3 linked regions of the Macaca fascicularis genome follow. The protein of the gene in region 3 interacts with the protein of the main gene of each other region in a pairwise test. Links are inferred from orthologs where the notes say so. Each region holds a gene or a part of one and is shown on either strand. Other genes may lie near its edges. The genes, in order: PDCD6, PLSCR1 and ANXA11.

What was found.
Region 1: the proteins of ANXA11 (region 3) and PDCD6 interact in binary tests that used the Homo sapiens proteins (3 or more experiments, as listed by UniProt). The link is inferred for Macaca fascicularis from reciprocal best matches to the Homo sapiens genes ANXA11 and PDCD6.
Region 2: the proteins of ANXA11 (region 3) and PLSCR1 interact in a two-hybrid assay, tested with the Homo sapiens proteins (2 studies listed by BioGRID and IntAct). The two-hybrid records come from large-scale screens. The link is inferred for Macaca fascicularis from reciprocal best matches to the Homo sapiens genes ANXA11 and PLSCR1.

The regions. Positions count from the first base shown.
Region 1 is NC_088380.1:623,974-630,230, reverse strand, and holds the end of PDCD6 (programmed cell death protein 6), read right to left. Parts: intron 4,548-6,257; coding exon 4,438-4,547; intron 1,164-4,437; coding exon 1,065-1,163; 3' UTR 604-1,064; downstream 1-603. UniProt on the Homo sapiens protein: Calcium sensor that plays a key role in processes such as endoplasmic reticulum (ER)-Golgi vesicular transport, endosomal biogenesis or membrane repair.
Region 2 is NC_088376.1:49,351,441-49,358,369, forward strand, and holds the start of PLSCR1 (phospholipid scramblase 1), read right to left. Parts: upstream 4,258-6,929; 5' UTR 4,117-4,257; intron 1-4,116. UniProt on the Homo sapiens protein: Catalyzes calcium-induced ATP-independent rapid bidirectional and non-specific movement of phospholipids (lipid scrambling or lipid flip-flop) between the inner and outer leaflet of the plasma membrane resulting in collapse of the phospholipid asymmetry which leads to phosphatidylserine externalization on the cell surface.
Region 3 is NC_088383.1:66,639,821-66,646,077, forward strand, and holds part of ANXA11 (annexin A11), read left to right. Parts: intron 1-816; coding exon 817-1,209; intron 1,210-2,857; coding exon 2,858-2,945; intron 2,946-3,191; coding exon 3,192-3,286; intron 3,287-3,972; coding exon 3,973-4,086; intron 4,087-5,485; coding exon 5,486-5,576; intron 5,577-5,990; coding exon 5,991-6,070; intron 6,071-6,198; coding exon 6,199-6,255; intron 6,256-6,257. UniProt on the Homo sapiens protein: Binds specifically to calcyclin in a calcium-dependent manner. Required for midbody formation and completion of the terminal phase of cytokinesis.

The sequences.
Region 1 (6,257 bases), on a different chromosome or scaffold from region 3:
AACACACCAAGCAGGGATTTGAGCAGGTAGCAGATCCCAAGAGACCAAAACAGAGAAAAGACGTGCAGAACTGTGTGGAACGAGCAGCGTCAAGGCAGGTGTTCTGAGCAGAGGCTGCAGCCCCGAAACCAGACGCATCACTGCAGAAGGGAAGCGTCCAGAGAATGAGGCTGGGGCTCAGGAGTGTCAACCCAGGGGGGCCCGGCGCTGCACAGCGAGGCAGGGAGGGAGACCGGGCAGCACTGGCAGTGGACCGAGGTGAGCAGGGGGATGTGCTGGGTGGCCATGTGCTGCAGGCCACGTGCGGAGACAGCGTGGCTAAATCATTGATGATGGAAATGCGCAACCTGCTACGCCAAATTGGATTTCTTTATCCACACGGAGCAGTTTTATGAAATGTAGCCTCTTGAACAGAGGGTGAGAGTCCCTCTGGCTTTTCACAAGCAGAGCTGTGCACGCTGGGCTGGACAATGTCCCAGAAGGTGCCCAGGACCCTGGGAGGTCCCAGACGAGCCAGCACATCTGACGCAGTGACTGTCTGTAGGACCAGGGCATGGGGCCTGGTTCTTGGACCTATTTGATTTGAAGAGCTGAAGGCAGACCACAGGTCTAACATTCCCTTTATTGCTTACGTCGCATATACCAATGAATACAATAAACTCCTTTTTAAAAAAGTAAGGCACATGAAAAGCCTTTTGTGCAAGTTCCATATTATTTTAAAATTCCTATTGGCTAATAAAAGCATTTCCACTATAGAACCAGAGACATCTAGAAAAGCACATGATAGATTTCTTTGCAAGCAGAATGCCTCAAACATTATTACATTTACCTCATGGCACAATGAGACAGTCACCAAATCCAATGTCTGCATTATAATGATGCAGCTACTATTATAGTTGGAAAACATTAATCACCTTATCCACATATGTACAGCTGGGTCCCCACACGGTAAAATCTAAAGGAAGAACAGCATCTAACTGCATCTGGGTTCCATTCCCTCACAGGCAGGAACTTTGGCGTTTCGGCTCTTGCCATGTTGTGCTGCTCTTCACGAGAGGCCAGGGTCATACGATACTGAAGACCATGGACAGGTACTGTTCGTACGACACCTGAATCCAGCCATCCTGATCCGTGTCGTAACGTCTGAATATATCCGTCAACCTCTGGGGAGAAAACACACATTTAAATCTCGATAGTGAACGGAAGGAGCAAGGTGCACTGGGACAAAGTCATTAGGAACCCAATTTCAGAAGCACACAGGTCATCTCCTGATGAAGCCCAGCACAGGCAGGCACAGGTGGGGCTGGAGCTGTTCACATGGACAGTGGGAGTGGGAAGAACACAGGGCTGCAGGGCTGGCTCCACTACGTCCAGCCCTGGCTGAGCCCCTGATCCCAGGCCCTGGTCTCCTGAGTCTCCTGGGGGCCTGGGCCCTTCCTTCGCCCCTGAAGACCGTCCCGTGGAGGCCCTCCACCCTCCAGTGGCTCGCCTCTGCTGTGGGGCCACCTGGGCTATGTGGAGCTCAGGACACAGCGGGGGATCTTGTGACATCACGAGGGCTTCAGGCTCCTTCAGCCCCGCCCACCCCTCCCTCTGACAGCCGAGGGTCCAGGCCAGATCAGCAGCAGAGACAGGGTGACCGCCTACACCCTCCTAACAGGGATGGTTAAGTAAGTGCCACTTCTAGATGATGGACTTGGGGCAGCCGTAAACTATCATGAAGATTCAGGCCAGCATGGTGACTCTCGTCTGTGATCCCAGCACTCTGGGAGGCCAAGGCGTGAGGATCGCTTGAGCCTGGGGGTTGAGGCTGCAGTGAGCCGTGTTCACACCACCACACTCAGGCCTGGGTGACAGACAGCAAGGGTCTCTCAAAAAAAAAAAAAAAAAAAGGAAGGAGAAGGAAAAAGAAAGAAGAAGAAGAAGAAAATGTGACAAGGGAAGAAAACAGCAGTCCTCGCATATCAGAACGTGGACAGGGTGTGGTGACTCTCGCCTGTGATCCCAGCTACTCAGGAGGCCAAGGCGGAAGGATCGCTTGAGACTTGGGGTCGAGGCTGCAGTGGGCTGTGTTTACACCACCACATTCCAGCTGGGGTGACAGAGCAAGACTCCATCTCAAAGGAAAAAAAACCACCCTGCAGGAACGCCACAGCACCACCAGGCCCCTGGACTTGGCAGCAGCTACGGCCTCACCAAACTCCAAAAACACCTGCAATGGATGATGCTGGCTTGAAGAATAATGGGTAATTTTTCTTTTTTTTTTTGAGACGGAGTCTTGCTCTGTCACCCAGGCTGGAGTGCAGTGGCCGGATCTCAGCTCACTGCAAGCTCCTCCTCTCGGGTTCACGCCATTCTCCTGCCTCAGCCTCCCGAGTAGCTGGGACTACAGGCACCCGCCACTTCGCCCGGCTAGTTTTTTGTATTTTTTAGTAGCGACGGGGTTTCACCGTATTAGCCAGGATGGTCTCGATCTCCTGACCTCATGATCCGCCTGTCTCGGCCTCCCAAAGTGCTGGGATTACAGGCTTGAGCCACGGCGCCCGGCCGTAATTTTTCTTTCTATTTTGAATCCTTTGTGTTTTTCTAGAGTTTCTAAAAGTGTTCATATTATTTGTTAAAAAATAATTTTCAAAAAGCCTTTATCCTTTTGGAAAAAGCAGATGAATCAAAACATTTTTGAGGGAATTTTAACTTGTGGTCTGCAGCTTTCTTTTCTTTCCCATTCCCCATCTGTCTAGTGTTTAGGGTCACTCTCCAAGGGTGGGGAGAGCCCGGGAACTGGCTGTCAGGCCCTCCCCACGCGGTCTGGAGCCGGGGCCTTGGGGAGGCAGCACCCCCCAGGAGGAGCTACCCTTGCTGCGGATGTGCCTTGGAAGGCGCTGGAGAGGTCACTGTGAGGCCGCCAGTGTTACTCCAGCTACCGAAAGCTCACACAAGATCAACGTTAACTTACAGAACATAGTCTCAAATGAAGATCTGAATCCTACAGCAATTCAGTCACGGTACATAACGAGATTTTACACTGCATCTTTTCCCTCTTTTTTTGTGAGACAGTGTCTGGCTCTGTCACCCAGGCTGGAGTGCAGTGGTGTGATCTTGGCTCACTGCAACCTCCACCTCTTAGGCTCAAGTGATTCTCCTGCCTCAGCCTCCTGAGTAGCTGGGACTACAGGCATGTGACACCAGGCCCGGCCTACACTTTTTTAAAGTGTTCAGAGAACATTGTGAAAATATCATCCAACGTGGCAGGAACCCCAAGAGGCAGGGCAGGAAAGGCTCCCCCACTGTCGAGTTTTGAGGCTTCCATGTTCACAGACCTGGTTCTCCAACAAATCCCTGAAGAGCAGGGACTGATGGATCCATAAACCAGAGGAAACTCACTTTTACAGATCTAGCATTTTAATTGTTACATAGAATAAACAATTTGGGAACGTTTCCGAATTTCCCCATTATTTCTAAAAACCCCATGCTGTTCCTCTCTCTCACGGAACTGCGCGGCCACCAAGGCAGGACCTTGAGGAATCTGGGTGGAGACCGGGATCTCCACCTGCACACAGCAGCAGGGGTCTGTGTGGAGCTCCCAGGCGGGTCCCCTGAGCCCTGCTCTCCATCTCCGTGCGTCTCAGAGAGAGCACAGCAGGAAAGACGTCACCAAAGAGCTTGCCTTGCAGGTCAGGGTGCATTACAAGCTCCTGCAGACACTGGTGTGCACAGGAAGAGCGCGGAGACCCCACCGAGGGCAGCCCGAGTGCCCACAGGCTCCACAGCTGACCTCACACACAACGACGGCAGGACACAGGGATGACCACAACAGAAAACGTGTCCCTTTTCTCAGAATAAAAGTTTTTGCAAAAATACACTATCATTGGCCAGGCACAGGGGCTCATGCCTGTAATCCCAGCACTTTGGGAGGCTAAGGCGGGCGGATTATTTGAGGTCAGGAGTTTGAGATCAGCCTGGCCAACATGGCAAAACCCCATCTCTACTAAAAATACAAAAATTAGCTGGGTGTCACCTGTAATCCCAGCTACTGGGGAGGCTGAGGCAGGAGAATCGCTTGAACCCGGGAGGCAGAGGTGAGAGTGAGCCGGGATCGTGCCATAGCCTGGGTGACAGAGCGAGACTCGGTCTCAAAAAAAAAAAAAAAAAAAAAAAAAATCAGAACACCAGAACATACGTGTAACTAACCCACCGGATACTGCAAAAACAGCGTCTTCCAGATGGGCTGCTCTATGCCATTTCCAAGGGGAGGAAAACATGTTTGTCTACACTTCCACTAACCAGCTACTTCTCCAAAGATGAGACTCAGTCTTACAAGCTCCAAAAACTAATTCTACATACGCCTGACTCCTTGGATTGAAGGTCAGGTGCATCACGCTGGCAAGCGAACCCCTCCCACCACCACAGCAAACCCAGGCAAAGCCACTCCGTCACCTGCAGGACGATGCAGCCCTGGATGAAGTCGTCGAAGGCGATCTGCCCCCGTCCCTGCCTGTCGAACTTTCGAATGAGGATGTCGTGGAACTGGTCAGAGAGCCGGTAGCCTTGAAGAGTGAAAGTTGGAGTCAGAGAGGGCTGGGAGAGACGGGAGGTATGTGCCAACGCCCACCCCTCCCTCCCAAGGCCCACAGCCTCTAACACACACGATGCAAGGCTGGGTGCGAACGGAAGTGCAAATTCACTCAAAGGCACTCAGAACTGAGACGCTTCCCGAATACGTCGCTGTGTAATGAGCTCACATCTGCAGTGCATGGAGCGACCCCTCGAGACCAGGACCCTGGAAGGAGGAGCGAGTGGGACGTTGCCATCGGTCACTCTCGTGAATTAACTACTCACCCCAGGGAAGCACTCACCAACCACCACCCCACAGGGCGGCCACGCTCAGTTCGTGAACCCAGTGGAGTTACTTTCAAAGTCCTTATTGATTTTATTATGTTTATTAACCTAGATAAGAAAATTCTGAATGATTCACCGCCCTGGGTTGCTTGTCACCAGACAATGCTTTGAAAACTAAAATTTCACAGAAGGTTTCCAGTTATACAAAGTGTCAATGTCAAGAAATGGGAGTGTCTGGGGGATGTGCCCCACCCGCCATGAGGGACTGACGGGCACAGTGGCAGGGTGACCTCGGAAAGGTCCAAGTCACTGCAGGGCCACCAAGGGCTAGGATTTCGTTTCCAGTTCACCGAGCCTGTCCTGAAAAAGGCCTCCCACAGGGAGAGGGCTCTGAAGACGTGTGGAGGCAGCAGGTGTGTTCGGCACCTTGGAGAGCACGCCCCGCCTGCCTCCCTCCCTTGCCTCCCTCGAAATCCCACTGCCTTCGTGACTGTGGCAGCCTTACTGACTCAGGAGGCAAGATCCAGGTGCCGATCTGTTTTTACTGGTTTTCAGCCCTGCTGGAATCTCTGCAGGGATGTGTGCACCTACTGTCTGAATCTCACAGTTAATCGCCTGCACAAACAGCCCCTTCACGGATAAAGAGTCAAGCACACACACATGAACACAGTGCCTTCCAGAGTGGTCAGGGCGTTCTGCCATTTAACTTCAGGGGTCCCTAAACGTGCAACAGTGGAGTTGCTTCGGACCCTCCTTCCCTGCAAGCTGAGAAGACAGGACCTCCCGTTACATTCAGAAAGAGATGGCAGAGTTGTGAACAGCTGCCACTTCTTCTGGTCCCTACTATTCCCACCTCCTCACTCCCTGCACCTGTACCGCGGGTGAGCCCGGCCTGCTGAGGACAGACAGCCCGGCCTGCTGGGACACGGCCACAGGGACACTCCTGTCTGGGAATGCACAGGGGACAGAGGTCATCACTGGGGTGCACAGGGGACAGAGGCCATCACTGGGGTGCACAGGGGACAGAGGCCATCACTGGGGTGCACAGGGGACAGAGGCCATCACTGGGGTGCACAGGGGACAGAGGCCATCATTGGGGTGCACAGGGGACAGAGGTCATCACTGGGGTGCACAGGGGACAGAGGTCATCACTGGGAATGCACAGGGGACAGAGGCCATCACTGGGGTGCACAGGGGACAGAGGCCATCACTGGGGTGCACAGGGGACAGAGGCCATCACTGGGGTGCACAGGGGACAGAGGCCATCACTGGGGTGCACAGGGGACAGAGGTCATCACTGGGGTGCACAGGGGACAGAGGTCATCACTGGGGTGCACAGGGGACAGAGGCCATCACTGGGAATGCACAGGGGACAGAGGCCATCACTGGGGTGCACAGGGGACAGAGGCCATCACTGG
Region 2 (6,929 bases), on a different chromosome or scaffold from region 3:
AGTTCTGGCTTCACGATTCGTATTACAGTGAAACTCTTTTGACCCATCTCTTGAGGTCCTGAAATTTTTATCTTACTGCTTTCAAAAAGTATTAAGTAAAATCTGGAACCCAAAGGGGAAGCATACTTAATTTTGACAGTTCCTAAAATTTGTTTACCCACACCAGATTTGGATTATTTATTTACATTTACTTGTTAATTGGCTAAGAACAACCTCCTTCCCTCATTCCCGCAAAACAGAGGATAAAGCATTTCACATTCTCTTCAAGTCCCAAGATAGGGATATATGTTTTGAATTATTTTAGCAAAATGCTACTGCTCTGAAAACAATCACAAGAATTCTAGGTCCCTAACTTCCTCCCGATAACTGAGAATATAGATACTAGACTAGAGGGAAGGGAGGAATTTCAAGTAGGCCAGGAGATTACACAGGTAAGTCATGAATCAAATAACTTTCATGTCATTTGGGTTATGTTTGTATGCAAACTTTGTACATTTAAAAATGTTTAGTTAACATCTAACAAGGAAAAATATTCATCTTTTGAACTCGGGTTTTGGTAAATGTTAAGCTTAGAAAAAACTGATGCATTTAAGCAAATGGGTGGCGCAAGCAGCTGGTGAGGCTTTTGAGTATACAGCACATCATACCTGTAAGCTATGGAATGAAACTGGGGGGACTGAGGCTGATTATAAACGCAAAGTACCTTGTAACAAGGAGTCACTCCATAAAAATCCTCTTGCGTATTTTATGCTTAACAAACAAAATAAATATGCTTAAAACCAGTTTAGGATAGCCTTTTATAGCATTTTATAGTACACCTTGAATAAAAATGTAGATGATACATCAACTAGGACCAAGTGAGATGGCAGTGATCAAGTGTTCTACAAAACTAAAAAGTAAAAAAAAGAGACAAAGGAAACAAATATTGAATCAGTTACTGTCATTTGATTGCTTTACTGCTCTGAAAAGCCTTTCCTGACAACCCAGAGCTCCCTCACAAATTTGAGTTGTTTCCTTTCCTCCTAATAAATGGTGAAACTAAACCCATAGAAATAAAAGTGACTTTAATAAATGTGATACAGTTCACTAACTAGCTGAATTAAGATGATCAATAATTCATATTCTTTGCATCGATGTCTCTAATTCACTGAAAAAAGGAAGACTGACACCCTTCAGTGAAATTTGTTAAAAGACTCTTTTAAGGTATCTTTTTTATGTAAGACAGAAAAGGCTTGAATTTCAATTTCCTCTTGTACCACTTAGCTTTAACTAGGTCAGGTGCTAAGTTCATGTGTTGGAAACTTAATTTCCAATGCAACTGTGTTGGGAGGTGGGGCCTAATAAAAGATGATTAGTTCATAGGCACTCTACCTTCATGAATAGATTAATGTTGTTATCTTGGGAGTGGGTTCATTATTGCCAGAGTAGTCTTGTCAAGTTCCATTCTCTCTTGCTGTCTTGCCCTTCCACTTTCCACCATGGGATGATGCAGTAAGAAGACCCTCACTAGATGCTGGTTCCTCCATAGAGTCATGCACCACAACAACAGATCACATATATGATGATGGTCCCATAAGATTATTTTTACTGTACCCTTTCTATGTTTAGATACATAAATACTTGACATTGTATTATACTTGCCTACCATATTCAGCACAGTAACATGCTATACAGGTTTCTAGCCTAGGAGCAATACCTTATTCCACACAGTCTAGGTCTAGTAGGCTATCTGCCATCTCACTGGTCATTCCTTTGCTGGAATGAGCCAAGTTCCCCCCAGCCCAGGACTTCTACCTGTGAAGTTCCCTCTGTCTATAATGCCCTCCACCACTACACACACACACACACACACACACACACACACACACCCCCAGCCCAGGACTTCTACCTGTGAAGTTCCCTCTGTCTATAATGCCCTCCACCACTACACACACACACACACACACACACGTCTATAGACTAATTGATTTGAGACTTCCTTCAGCTCTCAATCTGACTCTCCTCAACACCCCCCACGCCACCACCCCAGCCTAAATAGAAGGCTGGCTATACCATCCAGGATTGTGTAAGTAAATTCTATGATGTTCTCACAACCACCAAATTGCCTCATGATGCATTTCTCAGAATGTATTCCTGTCTTTAAGTAACACATGATTATGTTGGACTTCCTAGTCTCCAGAACTGTAAGAAATAAATTTCTGTCCTTTATAAATTACCAAGTCTCAGGTATTCTGCTACAGCAGCAGACAACATATGGAGACATCATTTTTTTCTAATGACTTATTAAAAGAACATATGGAAAACTGAAGAGTGCAACTGTTCTGATTAACTAAAAAGTGTTTTGGCTTTTTAATTTAGCACTATTCAGGGTAGTGCTATAGAGTGTGTATATACACAGATACACATATATACATATAGAAATACTTCCTATATAAATATTCACTAAATATAAAGCTGGTGTGGTTTTTAAGGAATTAATTGAAGGCATAGAGCATGCAAAGCACTATACCAGGCACTAGAGCACAATACCTAGACACTAGGGAGACAGACAATTAAGAATGTAATAGATTATTATAAACACTCTAAGTGCTATCAATAAAATTAATGTTGCTACAAGAAAGGGTTACAGGACACTAACTTAAACAGTGGTAGGGGGTTTAAGAAAAGTCAGACTGGGAGCTGAAGGAAATCTCAAATCAACTAGTCTACGGAGGTATGGTGGGTGGGGTGTTGGAGGGCATTATAGAGACAGGGAACTTCATAGATAGAATTCCTGAGCTGGAGGAACATGCCTCATTCAAGGAAAGGAAGACCAGTGAGGTTACAGAGCAGAAGAGGGAGACATTCTTAGAGATGAAGACGGAGAGGTACATAAGGGTCTGCTCACACACATTTGATGTCTCTCCACCTGTACTCTAAGCTCCTTTACAGATCTAAAGGCAGTTTGATCTATAAACCAGCTATTTCACATGCCACTTTGCTATCCAACTGCAGAAATCCATTCATTTCCCTTTATATGTCTTTCATTTCCCTGCATTTTCTCGTTGTTCAAAGCCCTACTATGGTTGTAAACCGGGTGGCATTAAGGGAAAAGTTTGCTCTTAGGAAAAGTTCAAGAAAGGAGGCCCCAAACTGCCTGACACGTTTAAGTGTCACTTGTAGTAACCATGTATCTCAATGTGATAAGCCAGAAAAAAAACAACGACTGCCTGTTCCTGGAACTGGGAAGTGGCCATGCCAAGACTTCCAGGAATAACAGTGCATGAATGAAACCACATGGGAACCGGAGAGTCAGCTTGGAGAAGCAGGAACTTTGTCAAATATTTAAAATAATAAAAGCTCACTTTCACTGAGTACTTTCTGTAGTGCCAGGCACTGCTCTAAGAACTTTACATTAACACATATAATACTCTGTAGCTCTTTTAATAGTTACACAATTTCAGAGATGAGGCAATGGAAAGAATATATATTAAGAAAGTGGCTGACAATCCACAGATGTGAAGCAGTAGAGGCCAAATTTAAAGTCGGGGAGCCTGACTGGAGCTAATGGTCTTAGGAACCGTGCCAGATACCGCCGCTATCTTTTCCAAGCTAGTATTGTAGAGGGTTTAGCATAGATGTGGGCTCCAGGCGGACTTCAGTGAATACTTACTGATAAATGCCAGCTTGCAGGCTGTATTAACCGTCCCTTCTAATAGCCCCACTATGCTGGCACATGCTCCCGAGCCCAGTCTCTGCCCAGGATTCAGCGCCGCTCTCTGCCTGTAGAGCAGTGTAGCTAAGGGGAAGCTGAGCCCCGCGAGGCGTTTTCAGGCAGGACACCCCTTTTCATTCGAATGATTCTGGGTGAGCCCAGGTGCCGCTGGGCCGCCTGGGGCCCCTTGCCGTGCATCTGCTCCACTTACAGGGTCCCTTTCAGAGGTCTCTTGCATTTCTGGCCCCAGCCTTCACCCCACATCCTCCACCCCCAGAGCAGCAAACACAACCGGCTGGCCCTCGCGCCCGTTCCCCGTAAGTTGGCCCCCACACCTGATCCCGGCCCTGGCCCCAGCGCAGGCTCCGCGCAGTTCTCGCGCCCGAGCCCCGGGGAGGCGGCAGAGAAAGCCGCTCGCGCACCTGTGGCTGCCGCTGTTTCCGCTCCCGAGAGAGCCGAGGTCTAGAGAGCCGGGGTCAGGCGGTGGCTTCCTCTCCTGCGCCTCTAGACTGCAAGGAACGGCTACTGCGCAACCTTCTCGGAAATCAGCCGGAACAGGGTCTGCGAGTAACCCTTGCGCCAACAGCCGCGGCTACTGGTTTCGTTTCCTGGATCTTACGTACACAACGCGGTTTCCTTTTCCTGGTTCCCGCGTTCGCGCCGGGGGACCCGCGGGACTATTGCAGGATGAAGAAGCTGGAGGAGGGACTGCACCCACCACCAGGTGTGAGGCCCCTCCCCTACCCCCGACTTGCTTTCTTGCTCATTGGAGAGACTCCAGAGACTTTTGACCGGTGGTTAAGGAGAGGAACTGGGACTCTGTCACTAACTGGAACTGGAAAGTCATCAGCTGGGGAGTGGCCTCCCCCGGGAACTTTCTTTACTCTGACTTTGACCTCCATCCCTCGGAAGCCCGTGGCTTTTCAACGCAAGGAAGCAGAGGCAGCTTAGACTACAAATGAGGAGTGGTCAAAATTGTTTTTTTTTATGGTGCCTTTTCTTTCTTGCTGTCTTGCTCTTTCTTTCCTTCTATTAAATTATGTGATATTATTTTTTATTTTTTTAGGCAGTTATTTAAATGTTTTTAAGAGCTCACCTTATTTTTTAATAAATATTGTTCCTTTTTAAACTAAAATAGTTTTTATTGTCTGTATTTAAGTTATGTGTATGACATATCCATCAACTCCTATAATTACACATTTCCCCCCTTGGGGCAAGAGCAGCTCTAATTTACTCATTTAGCATAAATCCTGAATACCACGATCATTAACTATAGCCCTCATGTTGTACATTAGGTCTTCCCATTTGTTCATCCTACATGTTTGTAACTTTGAATTCTTTGGCCTAAATTTCCCCATATCTCCTGACCCTACTCCAACCTGGATGACCCTGGATAAACCGGTGGTCCCCAACCTTTTTGGCACCAGGGACCAGTTTCACGGAAGAGGATTTTTCCATGGACCAGGGTCGAGTGGCAGACGGTTTCAGGATGATTCAAACATATTGTATGTATTGTGCACTTTATTTCTATTATTGTTACATTGTAATATATAATGATGCTGTCAGTGCAGACACATTTGATGACATGGTGGCCTTCAATAATTGCTTCTATGTGTTCTTTGTGTTCATGTTTTCATGGTTTCTGTTTTTTTGTTTGTTTGTTTGTTTGTTTGTTTGTTTTAACAAAACAAAACAAAAACTCCAAAGGCTTGTCTTTTAACGCAGGGTGCTTGGTCTCCATGTGGCAAAGCAGTTTTGCAGGTTTCGAGGCTTCATTGCATAGTCGATCATCACATATTATACAAAGCAGGGTTGGAGAATGTGAACCACCTGTTGCAGTGAACCTGTAATTTAAGTAGGACTCTTGGCATTTTCCTTTAAATGTGGCTTTATTTTTTTTAGCAGTTTTAGAGTCTTCTGTTGTCTCATCATTGGGTTTTCCCCATTTTCAAAGAAGCTGTCCAGTAATGTTTGTTTTTCACTCACTTTGGCTAGGCTAGGCTTAGCTTGTGGGCTTAGCAAAACTGTGACTAAGACAAGTGCACAGTGTGGGAAAGAGGTGCGGATGGAAGTGGTAAAATAATGGGTGAGCCATGCACAGACTAAAATAAGTGTTGGATTCTGACTGAAAGCCTGCCACCAGATGCAGCTGTACAATTGAAGTACATCAATTTTCCACTATAAAGCCTGCCTCCGGACACAGCTTAATTGTCACTTGTCACTTGCTCCTCACTGATAGGGTTTTGATATGAGTCTGCAATCAATGTATTTATTATGGTCTCTGTGCAGTCAAAACTCTCTGCTAATGTTAATTTGTATTTGCAGCTGCTGCCCAGTACTAGCATCACTGTCTGAGCTCCACCTAAGATAACCAGGCATTAGATTCTCATAAGGAATATGCACCTAGATCCCTCACATGTGCAGGTCTGTGGCCTGGGGCTTGCAGACCCCTGCTATAAACCACTGCTGTATATATTTGACCTTTTGTTAATTTCATGTAAATGAGATTGTACAAAATTTTTCTTTCTGTGTCTGGTTTATTTCATTTAGCATAATGCCTTCCAGGTATATCCATGTGATAGCACCTGGCAGAATTTCCTTCTTTTATAAGGCTGAGTAATATTCCATCGTGTGTGTGTCTGTGTGTGTGTATACACACACAATGGAATATATGTATCTTTCTTTATACATTTGTCCATTGGTGGACACCTAGATTATTTCTATTATCTTGACTATTCTGAATAATGCTACAATGAACATGGGAGTGCAGCTATCTTCAGGAGATGGTGATTTCATTTTCTTTTGGTATATACCCAGAAGAGGGATTTCTGGGTCATATGGTAGTTCTATTTTTAATTTCTGTAGGAACCTCCATACTGTTTTCCATAATGGCTGTACCAGCCTACATTCCCACCAACTGTGTACAAGGATTCTCTTTTCTCTACACCCTTGCCGACACTTGTTATCTCTTGTCTTTTTGATAATAACAATCCTAATAGGTATGACATAGTATCTCATAGTGATTTTGATTTGCATTTTTCTGATGAATAGTGATGTTGGGCACATTTTCATATACCTGTTGGCTATTTTTATGTCATTTTTGAAGAAGTGTCTATTCAGGTCCATTTCCCATTTTTAAATTGGGCTATGTCTTCTTGCTATTGAGTTGTATAAGTTCTTTATAAATCTCGGAAACTAAACCCTTCTCTGATAACATGGTATGCAGATATACTTT
Region 3 (6,257 bases):
GTGCTGCATTTATCATCGTTGACAAGCAGTAACTTAAGTCAACGATGTGTTGTTATTGAAAGTGTAGGTGCCATGGGAACAAGATGAGCAGGGTAAAGGGGTCAGGAGTGGGGGTGGGGTGATGGAGGGATAATGATTTTAAGTTGGCAGTAAGGTGGGTCTGGCTGAAAAGAGGATGTGTGAGCAAAGACCTGCAGCAGGGGAAGGAAGTGCTCTATGGATGTCTAGGGAATGCCAGTGCCCTGAGGTGCCAGGGGGCCTGAGGTGCTTGGGGACAGGGAGGAGAGGCCAGTGTGGCTAAAGTGGAAAGGCGAGGGGATGAGATGAGAAATGAAGTCTGGGGGTCCAGCTCTTGCAGGGTGTAGGAGGCTATTCATCCTAAGGATTTAGGCTTTTATTCTTGGTGAGTGCAGATTCACCTGAACATGCCTGCCAGAGGTGTCTGTGGGTAGCAGGCTGATGTGATGGCGGTGCCCCCAACCCTGAGTATGGGACCCACATGCCTTCTTGGGCAGTGAGCTGTTAACCTTCACCCAGGTGGTCTGGGATGGGAGGAGCAGCCATGTGGAGAGGGAAGGCATTTCCCCTGCAGAAGAGGGTGAGGATCTCTGGTTTGCATCCAGCCGCACTGTTTACTGGCTGTGTAGCTTTGAGCAAGTAAACTCATTCTGTGGTCTGTGAAATAGGTATAACGGTACTTCATGTTCCACAAGCGGAGACGCTGTGAGGACTGACTTGGCTTAGATATGAAAAAGCGTGGAGGGACAGAGTGCAATGGGGCCCGTTGGCCTCATGCTCTGCTTTGTGTCCTTGCAGGCGGCCAACATGTCTGGGACGTTTGGAGGAGCCAACGTGCCCAACCTGTACCCTGGGGCCCCTGGGGCTGGCTACCCACCAGTGCCCCCTGGGGGGTTCGGGCAGCCCCCCTCTGCCCAGCAGCCTGTTCCTCCCTATGGGATGTATCCACCCCCAGGAGGAAACCCATCCTCCGGGATGCCCTCATATCCGCCATACCCGGGGGCCCCTGTGCCGGGCCAGCCCATGCCACCCCCCGGACAACAGCCCCCAGGGGCCTACCCTGGGCAGCCACCAGTGACCTACCCCGGTCAGCCTCCAGTGCCACTCCCTGGGCAGCAGCAGCAGCCAGTGCCGAGCTACCCAGGATACCCAGGGTCTGGGACCGTCACCCCCGCTGTGCCTCCAACCCAGGTGAGTGTCAGCCCACTGCCTCCCTCGGCCCAGGCCTGGGCCCCAAAGACTGGAGACACATGGTCCAGTAGATGGGGAGACAGGGAAAGGCGCAGGCCTCCAGCTGCAGCTTCTTGTTTTAACAAAGAGTGTCGGCCAGGTACAGTGGCTGGTGCCTGTAATCCCAGCACTTTGGGAAGCTGAGGTGGGCAGATCGCTTGAGCCCAGGAGTTCAAGACCAATCTGGGCAAAATGGTGAAACCCTGTGTCTACTAAAAATAGAAAAAAAATAGCTAGGCATGGTGGTGTGCGCCTGTAGGCCCAGCTACTCAGGAGGCTGAGGTGGGAGGATCATCTGAGCCCAGGAGACAGAGGTTGCAGTGAGCCGGGATCATGCCACTGCACTCCAGCCTAGGCAACAGAGTAAGACCCTGTCTTTAAAACAAACAAACAAACAACAACAACAACAACGAGAAACAGAAAAACAAAGAGCGGCACCTTCTTGCAGACTCCCCACCTCTGGGTTGTGTTGCTTAAGGCCCAAGGGAGCTGCCCTGTTTCTCCCAGTGTGATGAGACACTCCACATGCGAGTTGGGTCAGAACGCTCCTGGCGAGTACTCCTTATTCCTCTGTGTCATTCACTGCCTGGGCTGTGTGTTTTGTAAGAACTGCCCAGGCCACCTGTCTTAAGCCTTTGTGCCCAACAGCATCTCCAGTCCTTGATATGCGCCCCCCACAGACGGGTTTTGGAGGATTCTTAAAATTCCCTTTGGGTAGGGAAAATGTTGGCAGTTCCTCCAGGGTTGATCTTGGCTCATTTTGGAGAACAGTTCATGTTTGCAGAGCCTAGAATTCGTTGTCATGGTTATATGGCCCAACCAGCCAGCACAGGGATATGGTATGTGCTTGATGACTATTTTTGGACAGAGGGTCTCCTTTCCTCCTTCCCTTCCATACGCACATGTTCCCCCACCCCTGTGCCATCCTCCAGCCTCTCTCCCTTATCTTTTCCCTGAGCTGCCCCCATAATTGTGTTATAACCAGTTTGTACCAGCTCCTAGGAAGACAATCCACTGGGAGACAGTATAACCTGGAAAGTTCAAATTTGCTGGGTTGTGCAGCTGTCAGGGTCTGGAGGAAGTCCGGCAGGTTTTAGTCTAGAGAACAGTGCCAGGGAACCAGTGCTAGATCAAGAGGTCGTCAGGCTGCCATGCACAGTTGTGGAGTCTGAATACCTGCATCTGCTGGAGGGTCCACATGGGCTAGCCAGCCCAGTTAGGAGTACCCACGTGTGCTCACATGCTGTGGAGACCAGTCATCTATGAGAGAGGCCACAGCCCCTGCTCCTGAGGCTTGCCCTTCATCGGGAGCCTGAGCCCCAGCCCTGGAGGACCTGGGCACTGGGCAGATTTACAGCGTCAGGTTTCAGCTATAGGTGGGCTCCCAGCCACTGGAGCCAGGAAAAAGCTTCCGTACTAGAACACAAGGCCAGATAACAGTCAAGTTAGGCAGACTTGGCGTAGAGTCCTCTGCATTGTTGACTGTGGGTTCCTTTAGATACTCCAACTCTTAGAGAAAGGGCTGTTCCCAGAGTCTGGGGTGGAGCAGTCTTGAATCTGGGGAAGGTGGCATACGTATCATCTTACCTGTGACTGTTTGTCCGAGTAGTTTGGAAGCCGAGGCACCATCGCTGATGCTCCTGGCTTTGACCCCCTGCGAGATGCCGAGGTCCTGCGGAAGGCCATGAAAGGCTTTGGTAAGAGACCCTGGGTGGCTCAAATCCTACCCCCTGCCTCCTATTCCCCAGGCAGTTTCACAGTGGCTCTGTGGGCTAGGGTAGCTAGGGGACGCAGACCTGGCCCCAGTGGTAATAAAAGAGAAGATGGATGTGGGATTGCGCCTGGCATGCCCAGAACAGTTGAGGCACCCAGGCCAGGGAAGTCTCAGCTGCAGAGCATCTCATAACCCCTGCCCGACCCACTCCTGCTGCCTCTTCCTCCAGGGACGGATGAGCAGGCTATCATTGACTGCCTGGGGAGTCGCTCCAACAAGCAGCGGCAGCAGATCCTCCTTTCCTTCAAGACAGCTTACGGCAAGGCAAGCTGCGGGGTGGGGGCGCGGGACAGCGAGGCGTGTCCTGAGCTCAGCACAGCCCTACTCACCCCTGCTTTTTCTTGGGTGGGTCCGGGTCTCCCGGATGGACAGTAAGGAGCAGGAGGGCATTTCCTTCTGCCCACCCAGCAGGTGACATCGTTGGGAGATGAAGGATGCCAGAGGGTGCCAAGGTTTGCTGAGAGGCTCCAGACATCTAGCCCTGGGTTCTAGCCCTTGCTCTGCCACATCTCACTAAGGTTGTGGCCACATCATTTTCCTTCCCCTGCCCTCTTCATGACCACCCTGGGGGGTTTAGCTGATGTAAGAACTTTGCAGGGAAAGGCTGTGAGCACTGCCCAAGTACGAGGGGCATGTATGAGCGCATTTTGAACTTCTGGGGTTTTGAATCTTAGAAAGGTAAAAATTGGGTAAATATTGATTAGATTCATGTTCTAGCCCAGTGCTTCTCACACTTCAATGTGTCACCGACCCTATGGGCATCTTGGTAAAATGTGGTCTCTGATTCGGGAGGTTTGGGGCAGGCCTGAGAGCAGGCTTTTCTCTCGGGCCCCTGGGGGATGTCCGTGCCGCTGCTCCTCGAATCTGGGATATGGCTCTTAGTAGTCACCTCCTGTGGATTTTTAAAATAGACTTTGTTTGTTTGTTTGTTTGTTTGAATATCCAATCAGGATTTGATCAAAGATCTGAAATCTGAACTGTCAGGAAACTTTGAGAAGACAATCTTGGCTCTGATGAAGACCCCAGTCCTCTTTGACGTATATGAGATAAAGGAAGCCATCAAGGTGTGTGTGTGTGTGTGTGTGTGTGTGTGTGTGTGTGTGTGTGTGTGTGTTTTCATGCATTCATGCATGTGGACACACAGCCCAGAAGGAGGCCTGGACAGTGTGCTGTGTTCTAGCCCACTCATTAGCTGCTGTTATCAGTATGGCTCCCAGGCCTTCCTGGGTTAGAGTCCACATGCTGTAGAAAAGGGAATTCCCTGTGATTTCCCCAAGAGGCGAGTGATGCACCCGTCATCATCAGGGAGCCTTAAGTCTCTCTCTATCTGGTCTCTCTCCATCTTAAAGAAATGGTGGAGCTAGGGTTTGAAGGTGGCAAGTCTGTGGTAAGCAGAGGGGTAGGAGGCCATGGTTGGTATCGTTCCCATTCTTTAGGACTCTGTTACTAGCAAATGACAGAAACACACTTCGGTTTAAGAAGAACAAAGGTGGAGAATCAGTTGTGTGGGTAAAGCCAAGCTGCCTGGCATGGAGAGGGCCAGGCCAGACGTCTCTCTAGTCTCTGCCTCTCCTGAGCGCCTGCTCTTCTGTCCGTTTCTGTGCTTCTCCTGCCATGGCTGCTTCATGCGGGGTTGGGGAGGGGTGCCTGTTGACCACTCTCCGCCTACCTATGAGACCCAGCTCCAGAAGAATCCAGCAGGATCTCCAAACAGGGGCAGGTTCTGACGGGTCCAACTTGGGCTCACTGTTTCCTCCAGTCCTGTGAGTTTTGACTGAGGGGCGGATCCTGTCCATTCTGTGCGGTCCCACAGCTCTGTGTGCACCCCACGGGCAAGGGCAGGCGGCGCAGTCCCGAAGCTCTGTGTGCACCCCGCGGGCGAAGGCAGGCAGCACAGTCCCGAAGCTCTGTGTGCACCCCGCGGGCGAGGGCAGGCAGCACAGTCCCGAAGCTCTGTGTGCACCCCGCGGGCGAGGGCAGGCAGCACAGTCCCGAAGCTCTGTGTGCACCCCGGGGGCGAGGGCAGGCAGCGCAGTCCCGAAGCTCTGTGTGCACCCCGCGGGCGAGGGCAGGCAGCGCAGTCGCGAAGTCCTGTGTGCACCCTGCCGGCTAGGGCAGGCAGCGCAGTCCCGCAGGCCTGTGTGTAACCCAACCATTTACTGTGTGGCCTTGGACCAGCCAGTACCCCTCTCTGATGCTCAGTTTTCTGATCCATGGGAGTGCCCCTTTGTGTGAACCCTACTCATCACCGCTGCCACTGTCAGTGTGCTTGCCCGGGCTGTGGAGAGGAGCTGACTTCCTTAAGCCTGGGAGTAGCTGGAGGGTGTGTCTCTGTGTCAGGGGCCTCTGTTGCTGGGGTTTGGCCCTGGGGTCCAGGCAGCAGCATGGCCCCACTCTCCTTCCCGGGTGCTGGTAAGGCTGCTGGAACAAGCGCATGGTTGGTTGTATTCTCTGCCCCTGCAGGGGGTTGGCACTGATGAAGCCTGCCTGATTGAGATCCTCGCTTCCCGCAGCAATGAGCACATCCGAGAATTAAACAGAGCCTACAAAGCAGGTGACACCACTCCCTCTGCCCTCTGCAGATCCCTGTGCTCTTGGGGCTATGGCCTCACTGTCTCCTAGGGCCTCTTACTCCTTCCTGGCCTTCTTATCAACCTATCTTCTGCCACCCCCAGCACACTGGGCTTTGACCCAACACCCAACCGTTCCTTCTGTGTATACATGGTGCAAATGACTAAAGTAAGGGAGCGCCAGGGGAAACCTGGATGTGGTTTGGGCCAAGGCTGACTAGAGCCCAGGTCAGCCTGGAGGTCGCAGGCTTGTATATCCCTGGAGGGCCATGTGGGCTGTTTGCTCTCTCGAGCCCGAGCCGAGACCTCTAGCCTTATTCTCCCCACTACAGTGTTTTGCAATGGGCAGCTCCATAAACAGAGCTACAGGGTGGACCTTCTTTGCTTCTCCCTTTCAGAATTCAAAAAGACCCTGGAAGAGGCCATTCGAAGCGACACATCAGGGCACTTCCAGCGGCTCCTCATCTCTCTCTCTCAGGTACTTTTCCCATGACAGGGCTCGGGGCCCCCAAGCCATGGAAGTCAAAGAGATGGGATCCCAGCAATGAGGAAAGGGAAAAGAAATGGGGAAGGAGTGGGCTTGACCATACACCTGCTTCCTTTCAGGGAAACCGTGATGAAAGCACAAATGTGGACATGTCCCTCGCCCAGAGAGATGCCCAGGT